Linked DNA regions of Arabidopsis thaliana. The protein of the gene in region 2 purifies or fractionates together with the protein of the main gene of each other region. This does not show direct contact. Each region holds a gene or a part of one and is shown on either strand. Other genes may lie near its edges.

Evidence for each region. Proteins that work in one complex are often made in the same cells at the same time.
Region 1: the proteins of AT4G25030 (region 2) and AT5G35740 purify together in Arabidopsis thaliana (affinity purification with mass spectrometry, with the first as the bait; one large-scale study listed by BioGRID). This does not show direct contact.

The regions. Positions count from the first base shown.
Region 1 is NC_003076.8:13,908,892-13,913,684, forward strand, and holds AT5G35740 (Carbohydrate-binding X8 domain superfamily protein), read right to left. Parts: upstream 2,335-4,793; 5' UTR 2,205-2,334; coding exon 2,135-2,204; intron 2,056-2,134; coding exon 1,801-2,055; intron 1,716-1,800; coding exon 1,681-1,715; 3' UTR 1,421-1,680; downstream 1-1,420. Other genes in the region: HK2 (histidine kinase 2), read right to left, coding at 2,852-3,101, 3,187-3,675, 3,762-4,402, 4,489-4,587, 4,682-4,793.
Region 2 is NC_003075.7:12,862,179-12,868,501, forward strand, and holds AT4G25030 (Serine/Threonine-kinase), read left to right. Parts: upstream 1-2,273; 5' UTR 2,274-2,592; exon of another isoform or gene 2,593-2,851; intron 2,852-3,128; 5' UTR 3,129-3,157; coding exon 3,158-3,283; intron 3,284-3,358; coding exon 3,359-3,625; intron 3,626-3,818; coding exon 3,819-4,460; 3' UTR 4,461-4,649; downstream 4,650-6,323. Other genes in the region: AT4G25040 (Uncharacterized protein family (UPF0497)), read left to right, coding at 6,142-6,323.

The sequences.
Region 1 (4,793 bases), on a different chromosome or scaffold from region 2:
GGTTGCTTTACTTAGGATTTAAAGTATTCTGTTATGCCCTTAGGTTTCTCAGTTGTTCTACTGAAGAGTTTGTTATTCTTGAATCATTGCTTTACATCAATTAAAAATTCTTGTTTGTATTTGTTTGGTTTACATTGTTGCTTTTTTTTTTGGTTACAGGTTTTGGCAGAAGTAATATTTTCTTGTTTGTTTCGACTGTTCTAGGCATTGGCAGCTAAATTAACGTGGAGTGAATGCGATTCTTGCTGGCTTTGAGATCACGTTGAATTGGTTGATTGATATGGCTGCAATAGAAGAACTTCCTACATATGAGTTTAAACCAGCTTCTTCAAGCGGGACTGAAAAAGATGATGCTGTCACTGATAATGTAGAGGCTGGAACGGGAACTAAAAACTGTTGAGTCAAAGAACTTCATCAATGAGGTTTGTCAATGAGATTCTAGATTCTAAATTCGCAGACTTCAAGGAGCTTCAAGCGGTGTGTGATGTAGATATTACTTCCGAGGAATCTGAAAAAGCATTAACAACTCTTGAGAAAGTACTGGCTTACCTTTGCAGTCTGGTTCAATAGGGAACAACTCTTTTATCCGTGAGAATGTAACTGCTGAATCAGGAGTTACTATAGATGTTCAAGTTCTGGATGTGCGGTCAAGAAACAGGTAGAAAGGTCATCTTGTGATGCGAAGTTGCTTATAACGACATACGAGGGAAAACATGACCATGATATGCCCCCAGGAAGGACATTTGCTCACTAGAAGATACTGAAGCAAGGAATTGATGAAGTTAAGAACAAAGATCTGAGTTGTATAGCAGAAGATGCCAATGCGACTCCACAGAGTTTAGCCCTTTTGACCATTACAAAAGGCCAACTTGATGATGACAGTGGCGCTTCAATATGGAAAATCAGGCAAACAAAGACTGATGCCAAATCTTTGGAGTAAATAATAGGAGAATCAGATGAAACCAAAGACCTAGCTGCCAATCAGGACATGCCACAATCAGAACACCAAAGCATAGCTTGTCAGGAGAATGCGGTGAGAACAGTGTCTGTACAACGCTAAACATTTTGTTGCAGGTTTAAGGCTTATTAACATAGATTAGTACAAGGGCAGGGTAAATTATTAGTTGACTGTATAGTTAATTGTTTTGGCCGCACCAGTTTAGTTAGTCCATTATTATATAGCCACCTACATTAGGTGGATTTAAATAAGAGGAGAACTTGTAAAGACAAAGTTGATGTTGATGGATCTCTGTAGTATATCGATAGCTCCTATACTGTATATGACTTGATTCAAGTATGTATTTCCATTACATTCATGGAGACACTTGTTCTTTCACTTCCATGAACAGAATGAACCAATGTTGTTATATGGTAGCACTGTGTGATAACAACGTATTCTAAACAGAAATGGAATCAGCCTATTACTGCGAGTCTGTGACTACATGTTAAGTACTCTAGATTGAGCAATAGTACCAGATTGATGTATATTCGATACTGTAGAAAATCTCAATGCACAGTAAAAGCAGGTTGTTGAAGAAATTTTTATCTCAGACTGGAGTGTAATGGGAGAACAGTACATGGATACTGCTTTGGAATGAAAACATTACATAGAGAAAACGTATAAATGCAAAATCATAGCTTTTCATCTTGCTGTATCTTGTCTTTGCTGTGTCGTTTGAATCAGGGGTTATACTCATACTGGCAAGAACCATGGCCTGTCACAATCATAGCTGGATCAGAAACAGATGGTTCACTATCTACTAAGATTCAAGGGAGAAAGAGAGAGAGGAGAAAGCTTACTGGGGTCAAGCTCAGTGATCATGGCAGCTCCTTTGAAGTAACAAGAACCACCTTTGTTTTTATAAGTTTGGTAGTAACTGTTGAAAGCAAAGGAGGCATGATCTCTGATTGTGTTAGGCAAGAAGCAAGGCTGGTTTTCCTGCTGCATTTTGCTGCAGTCTGCTCCACCTTTTCCGCAAGCCCAGTCTAAGGCTGCTTGCAACTCATCGTCTGGCGTTTGTTCATCCGCTATGCACCATTGTTCCGACTCTGCCTCTGCTTAAACATACACTCACATACATCTGCATAAGGCCAAAAAAGGGACATAGTATGAACATTGCAGTGGTGTTTTTACCTGAACGTCGAGGAAGAGTCATTGCTATGATAAGCAAAGGAAGAAGTATCCTTATCAAGAAAGTTGACATGTTTCTAGAGAAGGCAATGAGTGGTGCAGAGAGATCCAGATCTGATCTATCTAGTTAGGAAGTTTGGGAGCTAAGGAAATGAGTGCAACTTGATACCCTTTATACTAGTTAGAAAGAATCATTAGTCCAAAAGTTCAAGATCTATGACTAGGGAATCTTGGTTTGCTTCAGATGCAATCATGTGCCAGATCTGCATTGGTTTTGACTTTTGAGGAAGATTTTGTTCTGCTTCTGGAAGCTTTTCAGAACACACTGTCATTTATACGCTTCCTATCATGTAATCAAGAGCCATTACTATTACTACACAATATACAAGCTGTTTCATAGTTAAGAGGACAGAGTTTGGGTTTATATATATATAAAATGAATATAATGGAGCTATACCCTAGGAATCTACTATACACACAGGCAGAGATCAATGAAGACAAAGTGTCTATACAAAGAGAAAGATCGGTTTTCGCAGTTTTTCTCACTCAACCAGACGAGGTCTTAAGCTGAAAGAGACCTGTGAAGAAAAATTGACAATGAACTGGTTCTTGCCTTGATCTCAAGTTGAATTGCAGGTCATGGATGTTCAAGATATACTACCCGATGTCAAAAAGCTCTCGGGTTGATATATAATCCTACAAGGGAAATGGCTTTTTCTTTTAACAAGGTTCAAAGAATCTTGCTACCGCTGTGTAGAGCACTTCCTCTTCAAACGGTTTTGATACATAACCATCCATTCCACATTTCATGCATTCTTCATGAGTAGCCTGAATAACATCTGCTGTCATTGCTAATATCGGGACGTGCCAACTACTAAATTTACAGAACATTTCAGCTGAAACTTCTCCAGAAGCTATTTTCTTATTGATTTCCCTCTCCAGCTCACGGACTCTCCTTGTCGCTTCAAATCTGCGCAAAAAATTATAAAGTTACCAAGGACGACATCCAAGAAATGAACAAGCTGAAGAGATAAGATTGAAAAATAGTTATCTACCCATCCATTTCAGGCATCTGGAGATCCATGAAGCAAGCATCGAAGTTATGAGGCGGCTTAAGCATTGCCAATGCAGCTTTGCCACTCTCAACGCATGTAACAATAGCTCCATATTTCTTAAGTGCACCTTCTGCAACTCGTCTGTTCACAAGATTATCATCCACAACCAGAATCTGTTTTTCTCTTAGCAAGTGTCCAAGATTTCTTCGCTGTCTGTTCGGTTGCCTCTTCTTGCCATTGACAAGGGTTTCTTGCAAGCAACATATTAAGACACTCATCCGAAGAGGCTTTATCACCACCTCATCGATGAGACCAGTAGACTTCATCTCACTGCGCTCAGTAAGAGTTGCAGAAGTTGCCAAAAGAAAAATCTTTGGGACTCTTGTAAAGGTTACTTTGCTTCGGGTAAACAACTCGTCAAGTACTGAAAATTCTTCCTTGTTCCAGGCGTCTTTGTCTATTAGAATCATAGCCAAATTTTCTAATTTGCTGCAAAGATTCCAGAACAATAAAACGCTTTTAGTGAACTCACTATAATCTCTAAAGACAGACAGACACTAATGTACGTAAAGTACCTGATACAACAAGTGCATGCCATTCTCAGACTTGAAACAATGTCTGCAGATATTCCCAGTCTCCGAAGTTCGTACCTGGTGACCTCTGCTCTAATGTTTCTGTTATCAATAACTAATGCTCTCAATCCTGTAAACTCCTGAATAGCTAGATCGAATCGTTCCAGCTTAGTAATCGACGTATTTGTTTCTGCTTTCCCGAAAACTCCAGTAAATGAAAAAGTACTGCCTATCCCGGGCTCACTCACAAACCCCATCTCTCCTTGCATGAGTTCAACCAAACGTTTGCTTATACTCAAACCTATGCCAGTTCCACCATAAGTCCGCGATGTGGAACTGTCGGCTTGCATAAAAGGTGTGAAGATTCGGCCTTGTGCATCCACAGGTATGCCAACTCCAGTGTCCTCCACTGTAACTAGCAATTTGATTTGATCAGAATTCTGACTCTCAGTACTGTAACATGTCTTGAAATTCTTCCAGCTTCCCCATGCATTTACCGCAGGAAACCCGCTAACTGTCTCACCGGACTCGCTGCATCCTAAAGCTAGTCGCTGTTTTAGCACTGCGTCTTCAATAGTAAGAGGCTCCTTTACCTCATCTGCAAGGTGCACTGAGATAAATATGTGTCCCCTTTCCTGTGTGAACTGTTATTAAGTAAATAACAAATGAGTACTGTAATAGTAGAGATTCGTGAAGCCTGTTGTTCTGTAAGAAGTAAGGAGTAAATTACTTTGATTGAGTTTCCAACCAGGTTTGTAATGATCTGCCGGAACCGACTCGGATCACCGACTACAACATCAGGAACTTGACTAGAAACATAAACGGCCAACTGTAACAAGAAGTCAACATTTCATTACATATGGAATTTGTTTGCCATATGAAAACATTAAGAAAGTAGAAGGTCATGCAGTTTATAATTATACCTCAATTCCTTTTTCATTTGCCTTGCCAGAGAGGAGAGATGAAACATTATCAAGAATAAAACGCATATCAAAAGGCACATTTTCAAGCTCGAGCCTTCCGGATTCAATCTTT
Region 2 (6,323 bases):
AAAAATAAAAATAAAAACCTTCAGTAAATCTTATAAAAATCAGGTCTCGAATCCACTACGTTTCAGTTTTCACTCATTTATGCGTTCATTATCATTTTATCGACAATTATTGTGAAAGCGTGGTGGGGTTGAGACATCATAAAAAAATTTAATTTCAATTCTTAAAACGATGTCGTTTTTAAGTTATAGCATCAAATACGTGTTATTTTGACTCAGCAACCGTAACAGTTGACTATTACCCATTATTTACGATTTTGAATTGTGCAGTAACTGTAAAGTCCAGATATAAAATTCAAATTTTTTGAAGTTTGAATATGAATTAATCCTATAATTTATTCGCGTATGAAAATATACTTAACAGATTTTAAGGATATGAAAATACTTTTTACTTCATATGCATATGTATATACTTGTTTGAACTTTAAAGTCAATGGAGAAAATACACTAGAGGTTACAGGTGCTGCCGCTGCAATGCAACATGTCGTTTATATAGTAACTGATAGAAACTATCAACTAAAGTCTCATCACTAAATTTTCCTTAAAACTTATTACATTACTCACTACTACACAATGCATTAAAAATAACATATTTGAAAGTATATTGTGTATGCTAATTTTTGATGTGTACTTAAATCTCATTATTGGTATATAAGTAAAGAACTTTAAAAACTAAAGATAGGCAGTAAAACAAATCATACATAAAATTTACGTTGAAATTAGTTTGAATCAAATTTGCGATCTACAGTTTTCGTGTAAAACTAATCAAAGAAAAACGATTCAAAATAACCAATATATTTTGAAATGATGATTAAAACTTGGCGACAAATGAAATAAAAATAAACAATGGGAAAAAGTTTTGTGTTGTTGACCAATTAGAGACCAAAAGACTGGTTTTTGTAGTAAAAAGCAGATTACGTACAAAACAATTTAGCGGGTGGGTATATGGAATTTAGGTTCAGAATATTTTCTTCCTTTTAGGATTAGGGTTTGTCTTGCAATTTAGGATGTTATTGGACATCTGTTCAATTATGGATAGGTGGGAATAGGGTTTGAGTCTCACATATAAATCCTTGAATTTTCCACTACCATGTACATCTATATATGAAACTTCATAAAGTCCGATTTAACAAGTTTGCAGTATGGCGAGATCTGTTTTGGCATCTTAGAAACAAAGCTTAACACTAATACAAAAATAAATATTCGTCAAGAACAAGAGTAGATGACAAACAAGCTAAAGGAGGAGGAAAACAACTAAGATAACTAGCAAAAGATAGCATTTCATACTACAAGTATAAGGTAAAAATAATAAAGGCACAAAAATACCCGGAGAAGGCATTTCTTTTGGGTCTCTTCAGGTGTCTCACTCTTAAACTTCTTGATCATCTTCTCATTCTCAAAGGAGGTGTCGCTCTAGTCTTTACCTCATACATTCTTTTGTTCATTTTCTCTTTCTTATTTTTTTTTTTTTTTCAACTTTCGTTTAATGTGGAGATTTAATATGTAATTCTTATCTAAAAGATAATTAACTTTTTGCTTATGTTTTGCTTATTTTTAGTCTTTTTTTTTGTTAATATAGTTTCTTTGTTTTTGTTTATTTATTTTTAATAATTGTAGACAAAAATAATTATTAGGTTTTTAAATTAGTTTGATGTTTTTAAGCAATATAGTTGTTGGCGGCGGAGGAATACATGTACTGAAGATAAACACAGTTAAACCTTTTTAGTAACCGAACCGACCCATTTGGATTGAGATAAAATACAATCGAATAGTTTGAGTCTTAGATTGGGTTTGGTTTGGGTCGGTTTGAGTTCGGTTGGGTTGGGTCGGTTCGGTTAAAATGCCCACCCCTACTTTCCCATCATCCCCTTGACAAATTAATAACCAAATTAGTCATAATCCAATCTTTCAACATGAAAACCGGAATATGAGGGTCAAAGCGGACCCATTAAGAGAAAAGGTGGGTCAGTTGACACACCTTAAATCTACAAATAAAGTTTAATGCATGAAATTTGTTAAAGAGATAATAGCTAAGTTGGTTTATCATGTGTCATTGACACCCCCATTATCCAAGTTCAATCCTTCCCTATGTACTTTTTCGTAAAAAATTTCTTTTTATATATTAAACGAAAAAACTATTGACTCAGGTAAAAATCTTTCCTGGGTCCGCCGGTCAACGAGGAGGAAACACGACGGAATGAGAGAGAGAAGTTGGTGGCCTAATTTTTGTAGGAGAAAAAACACACAGAAAGAAAAGTAAAATGTTGACAAAATGGGGTTGGGAAATTGAGAATAAAAATTCAAAGAAGGCATGCATATTGCAATAATAATGTGCGATTTGTCAAACAAGTGGGGCTGTGAGAGAGAGCGCGTGGTCAGCACGAAGAAGAAGCAGGTACAGAGTTTTATCACCAGCTATCTATCTTTGGTTTGTTCTTAAATAATAATCAAACGCCATCTCTCTCTATTCTCTATCTATCTTCTCCACGTTACTACCACCTAACCTCTCATCCACCTTTTCTCCTTTAAGCATATTTCATTTCATCTCCGAAAGGAATTGTATCGTTCCTCACACACGCCTCTCATCTCTTATCCGTAAGTTTTGTTTCTCTTTTCTCTATTGATGTACCCTTTTGCCCATATTTGTGCTTGTGAACTCGCATTTGATCGTTTATGCTAGATCTGGTTTGGGTTTAGTCGTTTAGATGCTCGTCAAGCTCCCTTTGAATCACTAGTGCTCTTAGACTCTTATATTTACTGATTTGGAATTTTGTAATTCAAAAGTCCGAGTCTTTTGATGAACCCCCGTGCCGACCACACGATTGCTTTCAATTTGGGCTTCTTCTTAATTTTGGTGAACTATTGAGGATTTTTGCAAGTTTCTGTGTGAATCCTAGAGTAGAATGACTCAAAAATGATTTCTTTTGATTCAATTATATGCGATTGTTAATGTCTTTGAGGTTCTATGATCTGGAATTAGATTTTGGTATTATCTTAGTATATCAAAGCTTAGATGATGTTTCTTTAGCATGTAACTACTATTGTCCATATAAATTGCATAACTCATTTAACTTTCGAGCATTCTCTGCGTCTCGATTACTTATATGGTTCCTTTGTTTGTTTTTGTTCAGATTCTTGTCCTTTTTTCAGCTCAACAAGAATGGATAATTGTACTGGAGAAAATCCCATGGCTTCTCAGTTGAACATTCTCCGATGCCCGTTCTTGAGGAACATCAATGAGCCCACTAACCTCTCTTTCTCTTCATCCTTGCCTTTTCCCATCCCTGTAAGTAACCGTCTGTTGGTTCACTCCATATTGACATTTCTTATAGATTCTGATCTTGTCTCATCATATATATAGGCAAGAGCTGGGAAAGGACCTATATTTGAAGATGGTCCCAATTTTGATACGGCGTTTAGGCTTTTCCATGGCCAAGATGGAGTTGTCCCTCTCTCTGACACCGCTCGAACTGAAGCCCAGAAGCCTGTGCCTGTATTCCATCCACTTGCTGCTAAGGCGGCCACTATTAGTCTCTCATCCTTTGGATCTGGAGGGCCTTTTGGATTTGATGCATTTTCTGACATGTTTAAAAATCAAAAGAAGAAGTCAGATTCATCCAAAAATAAGGTAAAGGTTTTATGAGTTTCTTGCTCAACATTTATCTTTTAAAACTGATGTGCATAGGTAAAGAAATGTGTCTAAGGAAATAGTTAAGCTTCTAAGATTGCTTAAGTAGTATGCAATGTGTTGGCTTATGAGATAGAAAATCATGATATTTCTTTTCTCTTAGAGCACCGCTTAATTGTTGTTTCTCTTTCAGGGAGGAAACCACGAAGCCATGGGCGACGAATGGCTTAAAACAGGAAACTGCCCAATAGCAAAATCATATCGAGCTGTAAGTGGTGTGGCACCACTTGTGGCAAAGATCCTGCAACCCCCTCCAGGCATGAAATTTAAATGCCCTCAAGCAATAGTCACAGCTCGAGCAGCGATATCAAAAACACCTTTCGCCAAGAACCTCCGTCCACAACCTTTACCAGCTAAAGTACTAGTGATCGGGATGCTGGGCATGGCGTTAAATGTGCCTTTAGGGGTCTGGAGAGAGCACACTGAAAAGTTTTCGGCATCTTGGTTTATAGCTCTTCACGCAGCGGTTCCATTCATAGGAATACTGAGAAAGTCAGTGTTGATGCCTAAAACAGCTATGGTATTCACCATAGCAGCATCAGTTTTGGGACAGGTGATTGGGTCAAGAGCAGAGAGGCGGAGACTCAAGTCTGTAGCTGAGAAGAAGTTGACATTGGAGGTACCAAATCCGTCTTCTGTTGAAGCAGATCAGATGCAATTTGCCGGAGTTTCATCAGATGGAAGATGCGGTGATAAAGTGGTGATGAAGTGGAATCCCATGATGCTTGATGTTGCAAGCCCTGTGTCTTCCGGAGCAGCTACTGTTGTCTGCTAAAAGGATTTTGTAATTCTCTTCGAGGATTTATATATATAATTGTTTTTCTTGTATTTTTTTCGGCTGATTGTATTTAAAAAGTTTCTTAATGTTTGAGAAAAACAAGAATAAAGCCATTTTTTAAACTGTTAATTGTATTTTAATGTAAAAGACTTGTTTGATTGAATAAAAGGAAAGAGAAGTTGGAAATTTGGTGTTTATGCATCTCATAGGCAAGTTTTCAAATATGAACAATGTTAAATGAGTCGTTCAATAGTGCTTATGATATCGTGGTTGCAAAACATCAGTTATAGAGTGGTTGATGGTGTAGTGATTAAACATTGCATTTCGTGATCACTTGTTTGGGTCCACTCTTGCATCCTTGCTAAACCTACTCCAAAATTGGTAAACCTACTCTGAAGTTTGCAGAACTAGTCTAAAAGATTTTCTTAAAAGGCAGGCCACTAGATAGAAGAGAAATCACTTACAAGAGTTTCTTAAACTTTTCTTTTTAAAGATAAGTGATTATGGAACATTAAACTTAAGTTTACTCTCATAACCTCTATTATCATCAAATCTCCTTCTTAAATTTTTTTTTTTTTTTTTTGAAACAAATGGATTTTATTAAAAATACAAAAAAAATTGTATATTTGGATTACGTCAACTCTTACAATTTTGCTAGTCTCATAGAAAGATGTCATACAATGCTTGCATGTATTGCTTATAACAGTACGTGTGCTTTTGTTATTTCTTTTCTAGTATTGTAATTGCGTCGTACAAGAAAACTTATAAGATGCGTCGGAATTCGAAATAAAACAAATAAGGTTGGAATGTATCACATGATTTTCATACGTTTTTACAATTTCTGATAAGTCCCCCTTGGTATGATGGTATCGACTTTGTTTTCAGAAAGTTGAGTTTGTTTCTTTTCCGAAAACTAACGATGTCAAATAATGTGAATTCACAACATATATAAAAAAATGATAAGAAGAGAGCTTAATTTTGAGCGAGTGTTACAAATTAATTAAAAACTGTGTCTAGTTTAACACTTAAAAAAATTGCAATTTAAATGATAACTACCCCTGGATTATTTTCATAACAATTTTGTACATGAAAGAATTTAAGATAATATATTATTTTACCAAATTAGAAAAGCTAAAAAAATAAGTACTATAATTTGTTGTATTTAGTGAAAGAATAAATGTTGCTGGGAAAAAAAGTGAAAGAATAAATGCTTTGGGTATATACCTTATATTAAAAACAAAACGAAAAAAAATTAATGATATTTGTTACCATATATATTATATACAATCTATAAACAGAAATTAAGATAATTTATCTGAAAAGTGTTTTCAATGAGGAAAATAACAATAAACAGAAAAAATGAGGTGTATGTACAAAGATTTGTTACCAAATTTAAAGTATTCAAACAGAAAGTACCCATCTGTTTAGGCAAAGGATTCGATCATCAAACGTCCTACAATATCTTGTTTTGCGATCTCACCCACAAATTTATTTCCTATAAATTCTCTTCCTCTGTCTGATCTCTTCTATTCAAGCCCACTTCTTTTCTCTTTCTCTTGTCTTCGTGGAGTTTTCGGATCTTACACAACAATATCTTTGTCTTACTGTATTTCTTGTCCTTTTTCTTCTTACCTTTCTAACAATTATTAAGAAGAGTAAAGCTTGAATTTAAATAAAAATGATGGGAGACAATGAAGGAAGAAGAACTCCGTTATTGAATCTTGGGGTTCAAGTATCGATGAGAGTGTTAACCATCGGAGCTGCAATGGCCTCGATGTGGGTCATGATCACTAACCGTGAAGTCGCATCTGTTTATGGCATCGCTTTTGAGGCTAAATACAGCTACTCCTCTGCCTTTAG